2 linked regions of the Rhinolophus ferrumequinum genome follow. The protein of the gene in region 1 purifies or fractionates together with the protein of each later gene. This does not show direct contact. Links are inferred from orthologs where the notes say so. Each region holds a gene or a part of one and is shown on either strand. Other genes may lie near its edges.

Region 1 (7,032 bases):
CTGGGGGGCAGGGTAGACTATTAAAGGGAGTAAAGCCACAGCCAGGTCAGGTGGCAGCAAAAATGGTGTAGGTGGAATATAGAGAAGTGAGAGGACGGACCAGAAACAAGGAGGGAGAATCTACAGGACGTGGCCGTTGATTGGGTAGCCTGTGAAGAAGGAGAAATGGTCATGGTCAAGATTGACAGGTGTGGGGATGGTGGGGCCCGTCACTGAGACAGAGAGCAGGGTGGAAGCAGGAAGAAGATGCTGGTTAACTGCTGGCTGTCCTTTGAGATCCAGCACTGGGCCAAGTTCCTCAGGAAGCACAGGAATAAGACACCACCCTGTCCTCAAATATCCTACAGCAGCACTGTCCAAGGGAACGTTTCAAGATGAGGGAAATGCCCTTTATCTGTGCAGTCCAAGAGGGCTGTCCAATCGGCCACGTGCGGCTACTGAGCACTTGGGTCCTATGACTGGGGAACTGAATGTTTTATTTTGTTTAATCTTAATTACTTCAGGTTTACATCGAAATAGCCACATGTGGCTAATGGCTACTATGTTGAACAGCACAGACCTGTATATAGTGTCACTGAGAAGATAATTCTCACTAGAAAAACAGTTAGGTACATGTCTACTTCTCTACAAATAGATTGTGGTGTTTTGATTTCTCTCAACAGTTACTAAACCCTCACAACAAGGCGGACACTTGTTACATGCATCGTTTTATTTCGTTCCCCTCAACAACCTTCAATTACAATGATCCCCACTTTCAGGAAGAGGGAAACTGAGTCACAGAAAAGTGTTGCAACGTGTTAATATATAACAAAGCCAGGATGAGGGCCCGGATCCACGTGGTTCCAAAGTCTGTGTGTTTATCAGCCAAACCAGTGTGGTGAAAGGGCGGCCTGTTGTTCGCCCAGCGTTCTTTAAATATTCTGAATTGTTACTGACATTTAAAGTCAGAGACTTGGACTTCAAAATCATGATTTCCAGCTTCTCTTTAAAGACATGGAAAATCTGGCAACACCAGCCCAGCATTCTGGCATGACTGTTACCAGTGCAGAGGTCCTTGCCCCTCTTGGAAGAGAAATCAAGAGTGGGCGTAACAGTTTTGCAGACAAAAAGGTTTATTAAAGCAAAAGCTTGCCGCATTGCGGGAGCACACCTCGAAAGAGAATGGGTGTGGCTCACCCAGGTTTATAGGCGCAGTGGCTTTATGGGCTCTTGGGGTTGGGGGCCATTCCTTCCTCTTTCCCTTCTCCCTCCCCAAAGTATATTGAGGCTGGTACAACCCTGCTGCCAGGCCAGAGCAATGGGACTCCGATGTCTCAGTAGCATCTTAAATCTCCACCAGAGGGGAACGTTTTTTACCATGATAATGAGGGGAAGTTAACAACTATAGGACAGCTCTTTTAATCAATGTGCTTGTGGTTAGCAACTTGCCCTGGACCACTTCTCTCTCCTGCAATGATGGTATTATTTCTTACAGGCCTGGGGACGTGGTTCAAGATTGTTCTCCCCAGCTGCAGGCTTGGCTAGGGCTACTGTGACCACCTACCTGACTACCGGCCACATAACAGAGACAGAGAGCAGGGCAGGAGCAGGAAGAAAGAAGAAGCTGGAAGTGGAGCGGGAGGGCAAGGCAGAGACTGCCTGCTGTAGTGCCCACACATTGGGCATGGGAACGGGTGACCACTGTGGACGTATCTGAAGGCAACGATATGGTCTCAAACCATGTCCACCACTCAGCATAGGCCACACAGCAGGGGCTCAAAAGGCTTCTTTTAATATTAGTCATTGCTACTTTTCCACACGACACTTGTCCTGTTAAAGACTTCCTCACTGGGTCAGGCCAAGCTCCTGGGTGATGCAGAAACCGGACACCCAGCCTGTAAGCAGCCCACAGGACACTGGCCAGGGGCCTCCAGGAAGCCACACACACCCACTGCACCCCATGGTAGGAAATCCCCCAGGAACCTGCCTCACCTCACAGGCCTGTGGTTAAGGGTCAAATAAGACAAAGATATGAAAGTGCTTTTAAAGAGAACCTCCAAGGTTTGACTTTATTCCCTCCATTACCTGCACTGAACCGTTCATCTCCAAAACCCCTTCCAAAACATAAACTTAACATATGAGGCGCTGGCCAAGGAGGACAGGGCAGCCAACCATCATATGTTGTGCCCTTACTCTGTGCCTGACACTCCACTGTTTCACATCCGTTATCACATTGAGCCCTCAGGACAATACTACTGGTGTCCCCGTTTCACGGCCCAGGAAACTGGCTCAGAGTACAAGTGCCTTGGGCAAGGACAGGGTGCCAGGCAGTCTGACGCCCTGGATCTCGGTGCTAGAGGAGGAAAAAACACACATGCCTCCTTGCTGGCAAAAGCACGACGCCGCAGCAGCTAACTGCACGCTGGCGGTGCAGGACGCGGAATGGCTTTAGCCAGCCCTCAGGTAGGCGACTGGGATTGTCTGCGTCGGCTGGGCAATTTAGTGGGCTCGCCGCCGCGAGGGAAATCGGGGTTCCCACACAGTCGTGCCCCAAAAGGGGTGGGTACTGGGTGGTACAGAAAGGAGAGGAAGTCGTGGGAGCTCCGCCATTAAGTTACGTTGTCCCCATCTGTAACAGAAGTATGCGCGCGATGCGGGAAGCCGGGGGCGCCGGCTGGATGGGGGCGCACCTGGATGTCCTCGATCATACCGGGCGTGAAGAGCTCGCGGCTCAGCAGAACGTCCCAGAGAGGGGCCACCTGCAGCTCGCTGACCAGCCGCACCCGGCACCGCCGCAGGAGCTGCCGGTCAGCGTCGTCCATGGCGAGCAGACGGCGGGGACACCGGCCGCCTCCGTCCGCTTCCGGGCCACGGCTACCGCGCCCAGCCTGCTCCCCAGGACCCGCCCGGGGTCCAGCCACCGCGTTGCGCTCCACCCGCGAATCTTCCTCACCCCCAGGGTCCAACGCCCGGGCCAGGCCACTTCCGGCCCACTTGGCTCCGCCTCTGAGCCCTGCCCAGCCCCCAGAACCCACCCCCGCGGCACCGCCCCCAGTACCCACCCACTCGTCAACGCCCCGCCCCACGTCAACGCCCCGCCCCAGATACTCCGTCGCGTCACTGACGCATGCCCCTCGCCAAAATTCAAGACCACTCGCTTTTACCAAGACTCGGACTGAGTCACTCTACTGATAAGAGAGACAGCCCCGCCTCGAGCCACAGTCTGTCCCCGCCCCCATTCAACCCCCTTCCGGGTATGGCTCCCCTCTAGCCACCCCTGCTCCCAATAAAACCTTCCACCCGGGTGTCCGGATCTTATCGTTTACTGTTCCAAATTCGTGTGTCTCATCCAACCAGCCCACCCTTCATGGTTTTCCATTTCCCTCTTCCCTCCCTCCCACCCTTGCACCTCCCAAACAAAGACAGAAAACGGGCAGAAATCTCGTCCTCTGAACTCCCAGTTTGTACGGCTCATTTGAGAAGTAATTGATCCTGTTTGTTGAGCATTTGCTAGGTCTCAGCCATTATGCTAGCCACTTTACATTGCATTATCTCATTATCCCTACAATCCTACCAGGGAAGGATTTTCCCCCATTTTATATATGTGGATGCTGGGGCTCAAGGAAGGACAGTCACCGTTCAAGAGCACGGAGGTAGTAAGTGGCAGAGGGGGACAAGACGTAAACTCGAATCTAACTCAAAGTCCACACTCAACCGGGAGTCCACCTTAAATGTATTCTCTTGAATAGCAAAACTTCAGCCCCATTCATTCATTTATTCCACAAATATTTACTACGTTCTTGCCTGTGCCGACGTCTGTGCAGGCCTCGAGAATACAGAGGTATTCTCTGCAGACACAGCCCTGCCATAGGAGCTTACATTCCAGTAGGAGGAGACAGACGATAAAAGATATAGTATGTTAGTGATAAATACAAAGGAGATCTAAATAAATACATACATACATACATATATACAAGGCAGGGCGATATGAAATGTAGCTCTTTATATCCCTAAAGAATCTATCTCTGGCTCAATGAAAGTTTACCTCAGACACCTGTGCCCTCTCCCCTTTGCCCCCACCACACACATCCCTTTCCCTTGCTAAGGGCAGGGATTGGCACATTCTAGGGTGGAGCTCGCTTTTTGGTAAACGGGTTTAGAAGTCCTGGATTCTAGGCCTTGGGCAAGTCCCTGCCCTCTCTGGGCCTCAGTCTCCCCATCAGCATATGGAGGAGTTGGACTAGAAAGGCTCCCTAAGGTCCCTTCCAACTCTGACGCTCTAGAATTCTATGAATAGGCTTAAAGAGAACGGAGACCCACGATTGCTTCCCCACCCTAACAACCGTTGCTAGACGAGGGCCATCTCCTGGTAGGACTGGAAACTCCTCCCTGGATCGGGGAGGTCTTTTTCGCATCCCATCATGCATCGCGACTTAGCCTCGCTAGGAGGCACGTTTTGACCTCTTTGGTCACGACCATGCCTTTTGGGCCCGCCAACGAGCGCGCCTCGTTCCTATGGCAACCGCGCCAGGTCCACGCGCAGACGGTGAGTAACAAGGGTCAAAATAGATTCGCAAGTAGAGGCCCTCAGCCGGTTCAGTGCGCGTCTTTGATGAGCGGGGCCTTTAAGTATCACGTGACTCCCTTCAATCTTTTCCCCTCCCCAGGCTCCGAAGAGCGCTGGTGTGGACCAGAGGCTACCTGCCGGCGGACTAACTGGATGTCGGAAGCTGCCGCCGTTTAGGCTGGTGCCCTTTCCCGGTAACTCCTTCCCGGCGTGACGCGCGGAGCCGCGAACGCGGCGGGACCGGGCAGGCTCAGGAATCTCCCTTCAGTTCCTCCTCGTTCCCGGTCCCTGCTGGGCCTGGGAGGAAAGGGGAACCGACTGGGCCCGGCCAAGGGCTCTCGGAGGAGGCGGCCGTCTCCTGGAGGGTTGCGACCTCCGGCGGGTGTTCGAGGCGGGGCTCAGACCCAGAGTGTGTCTCCGGCAGCGGCTGCTTAGTTTAGGGAATATTGCCTGAGGTTGGTAGCCTACCTGTTGGGCAGGTTGTTTTCTGCCCTGGGGCCGGCGTCGTCAGGCGGTCAGCAAAAGAACTTCACAGCCCCCACCCCGCACTTGGGCCCTCTAACGAACTGGAAGCGACTGTCACAGTTGAATAAGGCAGTGGTTGCACAGCACGGCAGAAAAAAACTACCAAGTACCCTTTACTGACCGTTGACCCTATGCTCAGTAAATCCTTTACATACATTTAACCCCCGTGTTGATCCTTTCAAGATGGTATTATTCACCCCCGTTTTTTGAATAAGGACACTGAAGCTTAACAAGTTTAACTAACTTGCCCAAGGTCATAAAGTGGTGGAGGATGGATCCCAATCTTCGTCTGATTCCAGAGCCCAAGTGCTTACCCGGTAGCGACATCACCTTCGGATTTTTAGCGCGCTGGACCTTTTTGTAGGCTAGAATAGGTTATAGGTCACCTTTCCAAAGAAACTGGTTTGTTTTGGGATTTTATTCAGCATGCATGCAATCCTAAACATTGGTCATCAGGTTAGTCAATTTTGTGAGGACTCCCAGTCAGTATTTAGACTCCCACCTGTTAAAATCCACCGCTGTTAACAGCTTTTGCCCACCCTCTTAAGTAAGGTATCAACAATAGACACTCGAACCTTGAAACTTGACTGATTTATGAGAAGTCAAGATACATTTGGGCCTTGATAAAACTTTGTATAACATCACAAAGAGCATAATCCTGGAGTGTGTCAGGGCAATCATACAGCACTACCTTGTTCTTAAAGCAGCCAGGATTCTTTCCAAAACCCGCAATGAATGCATGCAGTCACTACACTCACCAAAGATGGAGCTTTAATATTTGAAGACCGTGTCTGTCTGGTGTACAGTCTTTGCCATTAATTCCCCTTCATGTGGAAAACTAAATTTTTTCTCACCACTTTTTCTCAAATAGTGAAAAAAAAGTTGAGCATTTCCTGAGGCCTCCATTTATAATGACCATATTGCTAATGATCACCTTCTCATTGTCTTGTTCAAATGGACTAGGTAAGAAAGAATAGAATTGGGGCATATTAAATCATAATTGCATAGTTTTTAAAGAGCATTTCACTTTCGTATTTGTACTTATTTAACACCCAAGAATGTCACAACTATCTATCTCATTTTGTGGTTTTGCACATGGTAAATCTTAGGATTGCATGAATGTATTTAGCATATATTCAGTGAAGTATTCTTAAGTCTCATATTTTAAGTTTAAACTATCACCAGAATAAGGAAGTAGTGGATTGAGATGTAGTCACCTTGATTTTCCTATGTATTTTTTCCCACATTCGCTTATTATTTCATCTCGTTCATTTTCAGTCATTTCTAAAGTGTTTCTAATCCAAGGATCCTGGAGAGTTGCCATTAATTCTTATTGCTCATCTTTTCATCTATAATAGTTCCTATTTGTGATATAAATAGTAGCGAGATTATTGCTTTTTTTTAAATATGGTCTAACAGCTTGACACTTTTCCTGCAAAATATCTTTTGTTTGTTTTGTTTTTCATCTCTGTATCTTATACCTTTACCTGGAAAAGCAAGACTTTCCAGGTTTCTACCACTGAAACTTGTTGCCTCTTCAATCATTTCAGCTCTGGAAAGGAAGAGAAATGGAAGTGAAAAAGTTGAGCATTTCCTGGCAGTTCTTGATAGTTCTGGTTCTGATCCTGCAAATTCTGTCTGCGTTGGATTTTGACCCATACAGAGTCCTAGGGGTCAGCCGAACAGCCAGTCAGGCTGATATTAAAAAGGCTTATAAGAAGCTCGCCCGGGAATGGTAGGTGAAACAAAGAAATAGTTTAATATAAACTAAGCAGTTTTAGCAGGGGAATGAAGCCTAAATTGTGATTAGCTTTTATTTGTCTCTGTTTCTGTGTTCAATAAATATATAATGTATCTGTCTAAAATATTTTATTTGGGAGAACTAATGTTCGTGTTATTCTATAATTTTTAGTAATGCAACCCAAAGCCTGTGTTACTGTGAAACCCCTTTAATTGCCCTA
Region 2 (7,580 bases), on another chromosome or scaffold:
TCTCAGTTAATATCCAAATTCATCACTTATAAGTTCTGCCTTTCGCATAACTGTAGGACACGCCTGTCCTAAGATTCTGCCACTGTCTCACAAAGCTCCTCTTCCTTCTACTTTTCCGAAAACGCGTTCCTCATTTCCTTCTGAGCCTTCACCCACAGTACCTGTAGTTTAGGTTCCATATTTTTACCAACAGTCTACTCAAAGCACTCTAGCTTTTTTCCTATCATTTTCCTTAAAATTCTTCCAGCCTCTTCCCTTTGTGGAATCCCAGTGCCACGTGTAGGTTTTTAAGTATTGATTACAGCAGCACCTCACTTCATGGCACCAAAATCTGTGCTAGCTTCCTATTATTCCTATAACAAACTACCACAAATTTAATGTCTTAAAACAACACAACTTTATTATCTTATAGTTGTGGATGTTAAAAAAGAAAAAAAGATTTTATGGGCTGGAATGAAAGTATTGATAGGACTGTATTTCTTCTGTAGGCTCCAGGAGAGAATCTGAGTTTTACCTTCTCTAGCTTTCAGAGGCTATCTGCCTTTCTTGGTCCATCGTCCCTTCCGGTAATGGACTCACTCTGCTATGACCCCTGCTTTCATTTTCGCATCTCCTTTTCTGACCCTGACTTTCTGTCTCCCTCTTCTGAGAACCCTTGTGATTACATTGGACTCACGGGGATAATCCAGAATAATCTCTGCAATTTATGATTCTTAATTTTATCACATCTGAAAATCCCTATTTCCACATACGGTAACATGTTCACAGGTTGCACGGATTAGGACGTGGGCATCTTTGGAGGGGAGAGGAGGGTGATCATTCTGCTACCACAGATTCTTCATAGGGAGCTGATGCAAGCTCCAAGGTTTCTTCTAAATTAGTACCTTATTGAAGCTCAGATGCGTCCACGATCCAGAGGGAAAAGAGGTTTCTCTGAGTAGTACACCCATGAAAGACAGAAAGCATCTCATTTTTAGAAGCCCCAGAAAATCTCTCCTTTGCTCTGATTAGCTGATGGGTTCAGCTCTGAGTGTATCACCATGATCAGAAAGGTAGGCTGCTCTGCAGGACTAAAGGGACTCAGGACCCACTTTCTCAACTTTGTAGCTAAGAAAATGGAGGAGGAGTTCCCCCAGAGCAAAAGGTGTGATCTGTTACCAAAATAAGGAAGAGTGGATACTGGGCAAACAAACAACAAATAAACGTCAAGTGAAATACACCCCTTCACCCTATGACTGCAGACTCGCCAAGGGCAACGTCTGTATCCTATTTATAGTTGTATATTCCGTATAGATATCACGTAGCCCAAATCTCTAATATAATAATTGCCTTTCTTAAATTAATGACTAAATGGCAAATGTTCACATGATTTGATCTGCAGTGTAGTCAAATTCATAGCCTAACATGTACCATTTGACGAGATGTTACTGTTTTAACAAATACATTTCAAAAACATAATAGAAAGTATCTTTTAAAGTCCGATCATGATATTGGGAGAAGAATAGAAATAGACTAAGGTAATTAATTTTCTGAATTAAGGTTAGACAAGAAATGAAGTTCCATAATGAGGATCTTAAAGGAATTACAGGCTTTTAATTTGACTCACGCTCTTGAACTAATCTCAGAAAATCAATGTTCCTGTTGACCCCTTCCCCAAACATACACATACACAAATAACTTAGGGTACATGTAGTTTGAAGAGATATAATTAATGATTAATTTGCTTTCAGAACTCAAAAGTGTGTCTATTTTTTTTTAACCAGATTAAATCCCATGAGGAATTTAACTCTCAGCACTAAATGAAATACAGACTATGTGAAGAGCATTAATTATTATACTAAACTATTTCCTGTGGCTCCCATTTCTGTCCTCTTCCTATGTGATCTTTTGGTTTCTTTCCCCCCTCCCATCCCCCCCAAAAAAAAGGCTAGGTGGGAAGTGGACCTGACATCTCTGAGAAGAGCCATGAGGGGTGCTGTGTCTCTCAAGTATAAATTGCCACACTGTGAATCAGAAAATACTGAAGCTGTTTCTCGGAGAAGACTCCAAAATCAATCTGGAGTCATCTCCCTCAGAAGAAAGAGAGTGTATTTGGGAAATGAGGACAAGGAACTGACAGAAGCTAGCTGTGGGACCAAATGAGTATCTAAGAGGAAGAGAAGTTGATCTTTTGTAGAGGCTCATTGTTCCGGGGGCAGATGGCCTGATCTACTCAGGGCACAGGGGTCAAGGACCATATTAAAGGGTAACTTAATCATTAGTTGTACTGTGTGAGACCAAGCAGAGTCCATTTAAAGGGATTCGAACAGCACGGACCGTTTTTCCTTCCTACCCTCCCTGTCTTCGTGGACATCCTTGTAGTGATGAGGATTTTATGATTCTCTCAGGAAGAGACTGTGACTCTTTCCTCATACTACACTTTCTAAGACAGTGGTTCTTTCCATTGTTTGGCAGGGGCATGCTTGAACTTATTTTGTGTATCTAATGAAAGCTAAAGAGCATGTGCACAGAAGTCAGTCATTTTTTTCATAAAATTTCAGGATATTCATGAATTCCCTGAAGTCTGTCAGCAGGGGCCTCCCAGGAGGATCAATGGACTCAGTTAGAGAGCCTGCCTCTGGACCCCGAGCCTGTACCTCCAGGGACCTCATCATCAGCTAAAGGAAGCTTGAGTGTTTTGAGAAATTTGGTGGTTACCAGAGAGTTCCATTCGATGCTAAAGGGCACATCCATCTAAGCTACTGTAGGAGGTTTTGATTTGGAGATCCCAGGATCTTCTTATTTTCTTTCCCAAGACAGGAAGAGATAGGCATGACTGAGCATCTGGAAACAGTTGTCCAGTTCTCACATCATGGGGCTTTCCCTGATGATGACTTTATCCTACTTTTTTTTCATGTTTTTCTCCCCTTATTTTTAAGTAACTAATCACATTTTCTTCTCTCAGAAACTGATGAATTTGAGAGAGTGACAAGAAAGTGTGGGGAAGAAAGAGAAAGAGTGAATAGACAATGTAATACAGTGAGGAATGGGGACAACCTGCAGCTGAAATAGCTTCTTAAAAGACAGAACTTTTACCAGAGTGGTGTTTCTATTCATCATCCTTCCTCGCCAAATTCATTTGTTTGTAAGTTCTCTTACTCAGCAAAAATGTATTGGCATGTGCAATATTCCAAATCCTGTGCTAGATCTGTGAGGGGTGCAAAGATGAATGCCATACAGCTCCTTTTAAAGGAGTTTGAAGTCCTACAATGGAGTAAAATATAGAAAGAAAGTCAGCTTATAGGAGCTTTCTGAAAGGGCTTCACTGTTCACTCTTCCTAAATTTCTCTCTCTCTCTCTCTCTCTCTCTCTCTCTCTCTCTCTCTCTCTCTCTCTCTCTCTCTCTCTCTCTCTCAATCCATAATATAAAATTAACAGAATTACATTCACATATTGAGAGCTTTTTTATAGCAGTTTTATAATTAATTTATCTTGTCATGAATATTAAAAAACATAAGATGAACTCCAAAGGTACTAATTTGGAAAATAGATGTCATTTCATGACATAAATATGCTATGTAATCTTTGATAAGAGAAAACCTAGAAAAACCTGAGGGGATTTATTTTTTTCCTAAAGTATTTCAGAAAAAAGAATCACTGTAGTCTCAGGTTTTGTCTGCTTATGTAAACTGAGCCCATGATTCTGATAGAACTGGACTGTCTATCTCAAATCATTTAACAATTTAGAACTCGTTTATTAAATTAATGCATTATTCCATTATGAAAATGGTTTGTGTATACAGTGTAAACTCATGGCATGATAGAAGGGTTTATGCAAGAACGACATGAGAAGCAAGACTGTAAAAAGGATTCCTGTCCAGGCTGAAGTCTAGACAAATAGGGAGTCATTGACACTCTGTAAGAAAAGGCATACGTATGTAAGACTTAAGCTGCTTTTTAAGTGTCATTGACTCGTATGTCAGAGACCTGAAAAGATTTAATTCGGCCTGTACCAAAACTCATTTAACACACCGTTTAAACAACAACAACAACAAAAAAAACCAAAAAAACATTGAAATAGCTTATCCACTAACCATTTCCTCTGTCCTTTTCCCCTTTTTAACTGGGCTAATTTTTGGCCAGTAGCAAAGTTCTTGCCCCTTTGCTGCTAAGCTGTCCTAGGTTTTCCAGTCAAAAATAGTTTCTTGAAGGTTGAGTGTGAAAAGAGAGCTGCAGAACCCCCAGACGCTCACGCAATTCACTGGCTCCATTGACAAAAGTGACTTCCCACGCTTTGCCCACAGAGGGCATCCCTGCTCATTGATATGTAGACCAGGCGAATGCAGCTGCTAGGAGCCTCCTCCGACCGCTCTTTTTTCCCTTCGCCGTCATCCCTCTGCCCCCACCCCCACCCCCTTCCCGTGGAATCTTTGCCTGATCCAGTTCGTTTCCCTCCGGTCTCCACATTTTCCCTTCCAGCCCTCCACTTCTCCGGATCAATGGATAGTACGGCTCCAACTCCCAGCTCACACACCGCTGGCGGACACCCCAGTAACAAGTGAGAGCGCTCCACCAGCAGCCCCCTGCCTCTCCTCCCTCGGTCCCTTCGGCTCTTGGAGGAAAACCGAACAGCACCCCCAGTTCTCGGGGGATTTTTTTTTCTCTTCAACTTTACCCAGCCGAAGACAGGGAACCAGTCTCAACCTTTTAATGCACAGCCCAGCCATAGGATTGTTTTCTGCCTCCTCTTGGTTTCCCCTGGATATTCTGTTTATTGATGACTCCCAAGCCCCGTGGAGAGCTGTCTTCCCTCCTCTTGCGCCGTCTGTTTCCTTGAGTTAGTTTCCCAAGGTTTTTACAGGGGGCTCGGAATCTATTGGACTGAATGGAACTTTTTGCTGCCTCCTTTTGCTGCTGATTTTGTCAGTGGACGCGGAAAAAGGCTTCGGAGGCAGAAGAGGCGCAGGGGAGGTGGAGAAAGAGGTGGAGGAAGAGGACGACGAGGAGGAAGCCGAAGGGGCTCGGCGCGAGTGTGTGCATGTGTGCATGTGTGTGTGTGAGTGCATGTGTGTGAGAGCCGCCGCTGCCCAGGACCCCTGGCCCCGAAGGTGTTGGCTGAAATATGGAGAATAGTCTTGGATGTGTTTGGGTACCCAAGCTGGCTTTTGTACTCTTCGGAGCTACCCTGCTCGGCGCACATCTTCAAGTCACCGGTAAGAGGTTGTTTCCTTTCTTCTCCTCAAACCCCCCACCCCCTACCCCCTTTCCTTTTCCTTCTCATTTCATCTGGCGAGTGGTACAGCTGGGATAGAGGGAGAAAGAGCAAGATGTTAGGAGCTCTGTGCCCCATTTCCTCACCGATGGTAAAAGACAGGAAGACTTTTTTTCCCCCTGGGGGTGGAGGACGTTGGCGGCTGGGGAGTCGGGCGCCCCTCCGCTCTTTTTTAATCTGGTACTCTTGCATCTTAGCTTTCGCAAATACTTGCCTTGATTTGGAGAGCTGGCGGGCTGGGGCGGGGAGGAGGCAGGTGGTGGGATGTCGTTGAAAGGAACAGGGTTGGATCCTTACAGCCTCGGAAACCTACGGATCGGGGCAACAGGGCCAAGCGGAGGTCATGGAGGGGCTCCGAGGAAGTCTGTGCGGAAGGCTGGGCTGAGTCGTTTGCGGCTACAAGCGCCTTCCTTTGGGATTTTTAGACTTGCTGATTGAGAATCGAGAAAGGGACAGCTACTGTGTTTTGGTACTTCGGAGGAGGGGACAGTGGCGCTGAAAAGAGGCGCAGAGTTGTTAGGAAGAAGGAAGCGTGTTTTATTTTATTTTTTAGCGGTGCGTTCAGTTCGCACGCTGTCTCCAGATATCTCCAGGACAGTTCCAAACTCCAAATGACTGATATTCCAGGCAGCCGGCTCCCTGGCTCTGGCGCTTGGCAAGCGCAGTTTTTCTAATTAAAAATGGCAAAAGTGTTTGGGGAAGGGATTGGGTTATAGCAGGAGAAAGAGGGAGCTGAAGGATGCTCGGGCTGCTGCAGTCTCCAAATACGGAACAGGGGCTTCGACGGCTAAAATAATTTAAAAAGAATAAAGAGCCTCATTTTCATGTCCACTCCTTTTGCCGGGCCTCACCACAAATGTAGGTGGGCACTCTGGTACAGGGGTTGGGCCTGGTGGGGAAGCTGTGGAGAACAGCCAGCTGAGCGTTCAGATCCCTTCGGAAGCGACCTTTTCCCAAATCCAAAAGAAAAGGAGCCGCAGGCAGGAGCCAGGCGTTGCTAGGAGGGCCCGAACCAGTGCCTTGGAAATTAATAGGGAATGGAAGGTAAATGACAGCCAAGCCCCCAGCTGCCCCTGAGCCTGAAGCTCTGGCTTTCTTGTTCCTGCTAAATGCTGCATGGCCCAGGGTGGCGAATTCGAGTAGAGAATGTGCCTCTCCAGGTCGCTAGGGATTCAGACAATCAAGCAGGGGACCAGCTGGAGGCTCCCCAAATCCTGGTGCGGGTACCAGCGAACAGGAATCTGCGCATACACGCATACACACAGACCCAGACTCCTCACCTTCCTTGTGTCAGAGCGAGTGAAAGAATGAGTGAGAGAGAGAGAGAGAGAGAGAGAGAGAGAGAGAGAGAGAGAGAGAGAGAGAGAGAGAGAGAGAACACGGGCGCGTGCGCGCGTATGGTGCATGAGTGAGTACCCGCATCCTTGCGCTCAGCGGCCCCTTGCCTTCCTTCCCTCCCTCTCTGGCCAGTCCCCACATCCCGGGCTTCTCTCTCCCGGAGCTTTGTCCTCAGCAATTACTCCCTCCGAAGGAGGGCGGGGGTCATCCCCGAAGTAATGAATAGGTGTCTTTTTAAAATACCCTCCTTGCTACCCACGGAGGCTAGACGCTGCAGCGAAGCATCCAGCCTTCCGCACAGAAGATTGACTTGGGCAGTTTGGGAGACGCCACAGAGGGAAGAGGGGAAGTTCAGAGGGGCATCCCTCGCTGGGTAGAAAGTCTACCAGGTGGGGCTTGAAATGAGTCGGCTGAAAATATTGCACTAGGCACGGTGTGGAAGAATGGACAATGATGTTTTATCAAGTAAACTAAAATATTTTAAAGCCATTTCCCAAGTGACTGTGTCTGATGAAGGCTGGAGGTAAATAAATGGAAACGGTTTTATATATGTTTCACTAATACCTAAATCAATTGAATATCCCTCTTTCCACTTGTTTCTGTCTAGAGCGTTAGGGCCACACAATACTGCTTTATTTTAATTTCCTCTTCAACAGATACGTCTGTGTTTGAAAAGGCAGACAAAAACATGCATATACAGGGAATATGCCTGTGGATAGGCTTGTGGATCTAAATCTTCACGCTTCCCATACTTCTAAATTCATTCTGGTTATTTGCCAATGGATTGTGATGTCGTTTGCACAGGTCCCGGGAAAGTGGATGGTGCTATTTTGAGATACAGTTCATTCAGATGACTCTGGTCTTTGCTCATTAAGAGGTTTCTCCTCTATCTCTTAGTAGCAATTTCCCCTCTTTAGGTACATGGCAGGGAATTGCTGCTGAAGAAAGCAGAGTTCATTCTATGAAAGGACCAGTAGGAGGTGCCCATAAT

What was found. The genes of interacting proteins can lie anywhere in the genome.
Region 2: the proteins of CASP9 (region 1) and DCC purify together in Homo sapiens (co-immunoprecipitation; 3 studies listed by BioGRID and IntAct, with this or other methods). This does not show direct contact. The link is inferred for Rhinolophus ferrumequinum from reciprocal best matches to the Homo sapiens genes CASP9 and DCC.

Annotation. Positions count from the first base shown.
Region 1 is NC_046292.1:10,387,857-10,394,888, forward strand, and holds the start of CASP9 (caspase-9), read right to left. Parts: upstream 3,014-7,032; 5' UTR 2,802-3,013; coding exon 2,670-2,801; intron 1-2,669. Other genes in the region: DNAJC16 (dnaJ homolog subfamily C member 16), read left to right, coding at 6,640-6,806. UniProt on the Homo sapiens protein: Involved in the activation cascade of caspases responsible for apoptosis execution. Binding of caspase-9 to Apaf-1 leads to activation of the protease which then cleaves and activates effector caspases caspase-3 (CASP3) or caspase-7 (CASP7).
Region 2 is NC_046302.1:42,488,507-42,496,086, forward strand, and holds the start of DCC (netrin receptor DCC), read left to right. Parts: upstream 1-4,558; 5' UTR 4,559-5,101; coding exon 5,102-5,192; intron 5,193-7,580. UniProt on the Homo sapiens protein: Receptor for netrin required for axon guidance. Mediates axon attraction of neuronal growth cones in the developing nervous system upon ligand binding. Its association with UNC5 proteins may trigger signaling for axon repulsion.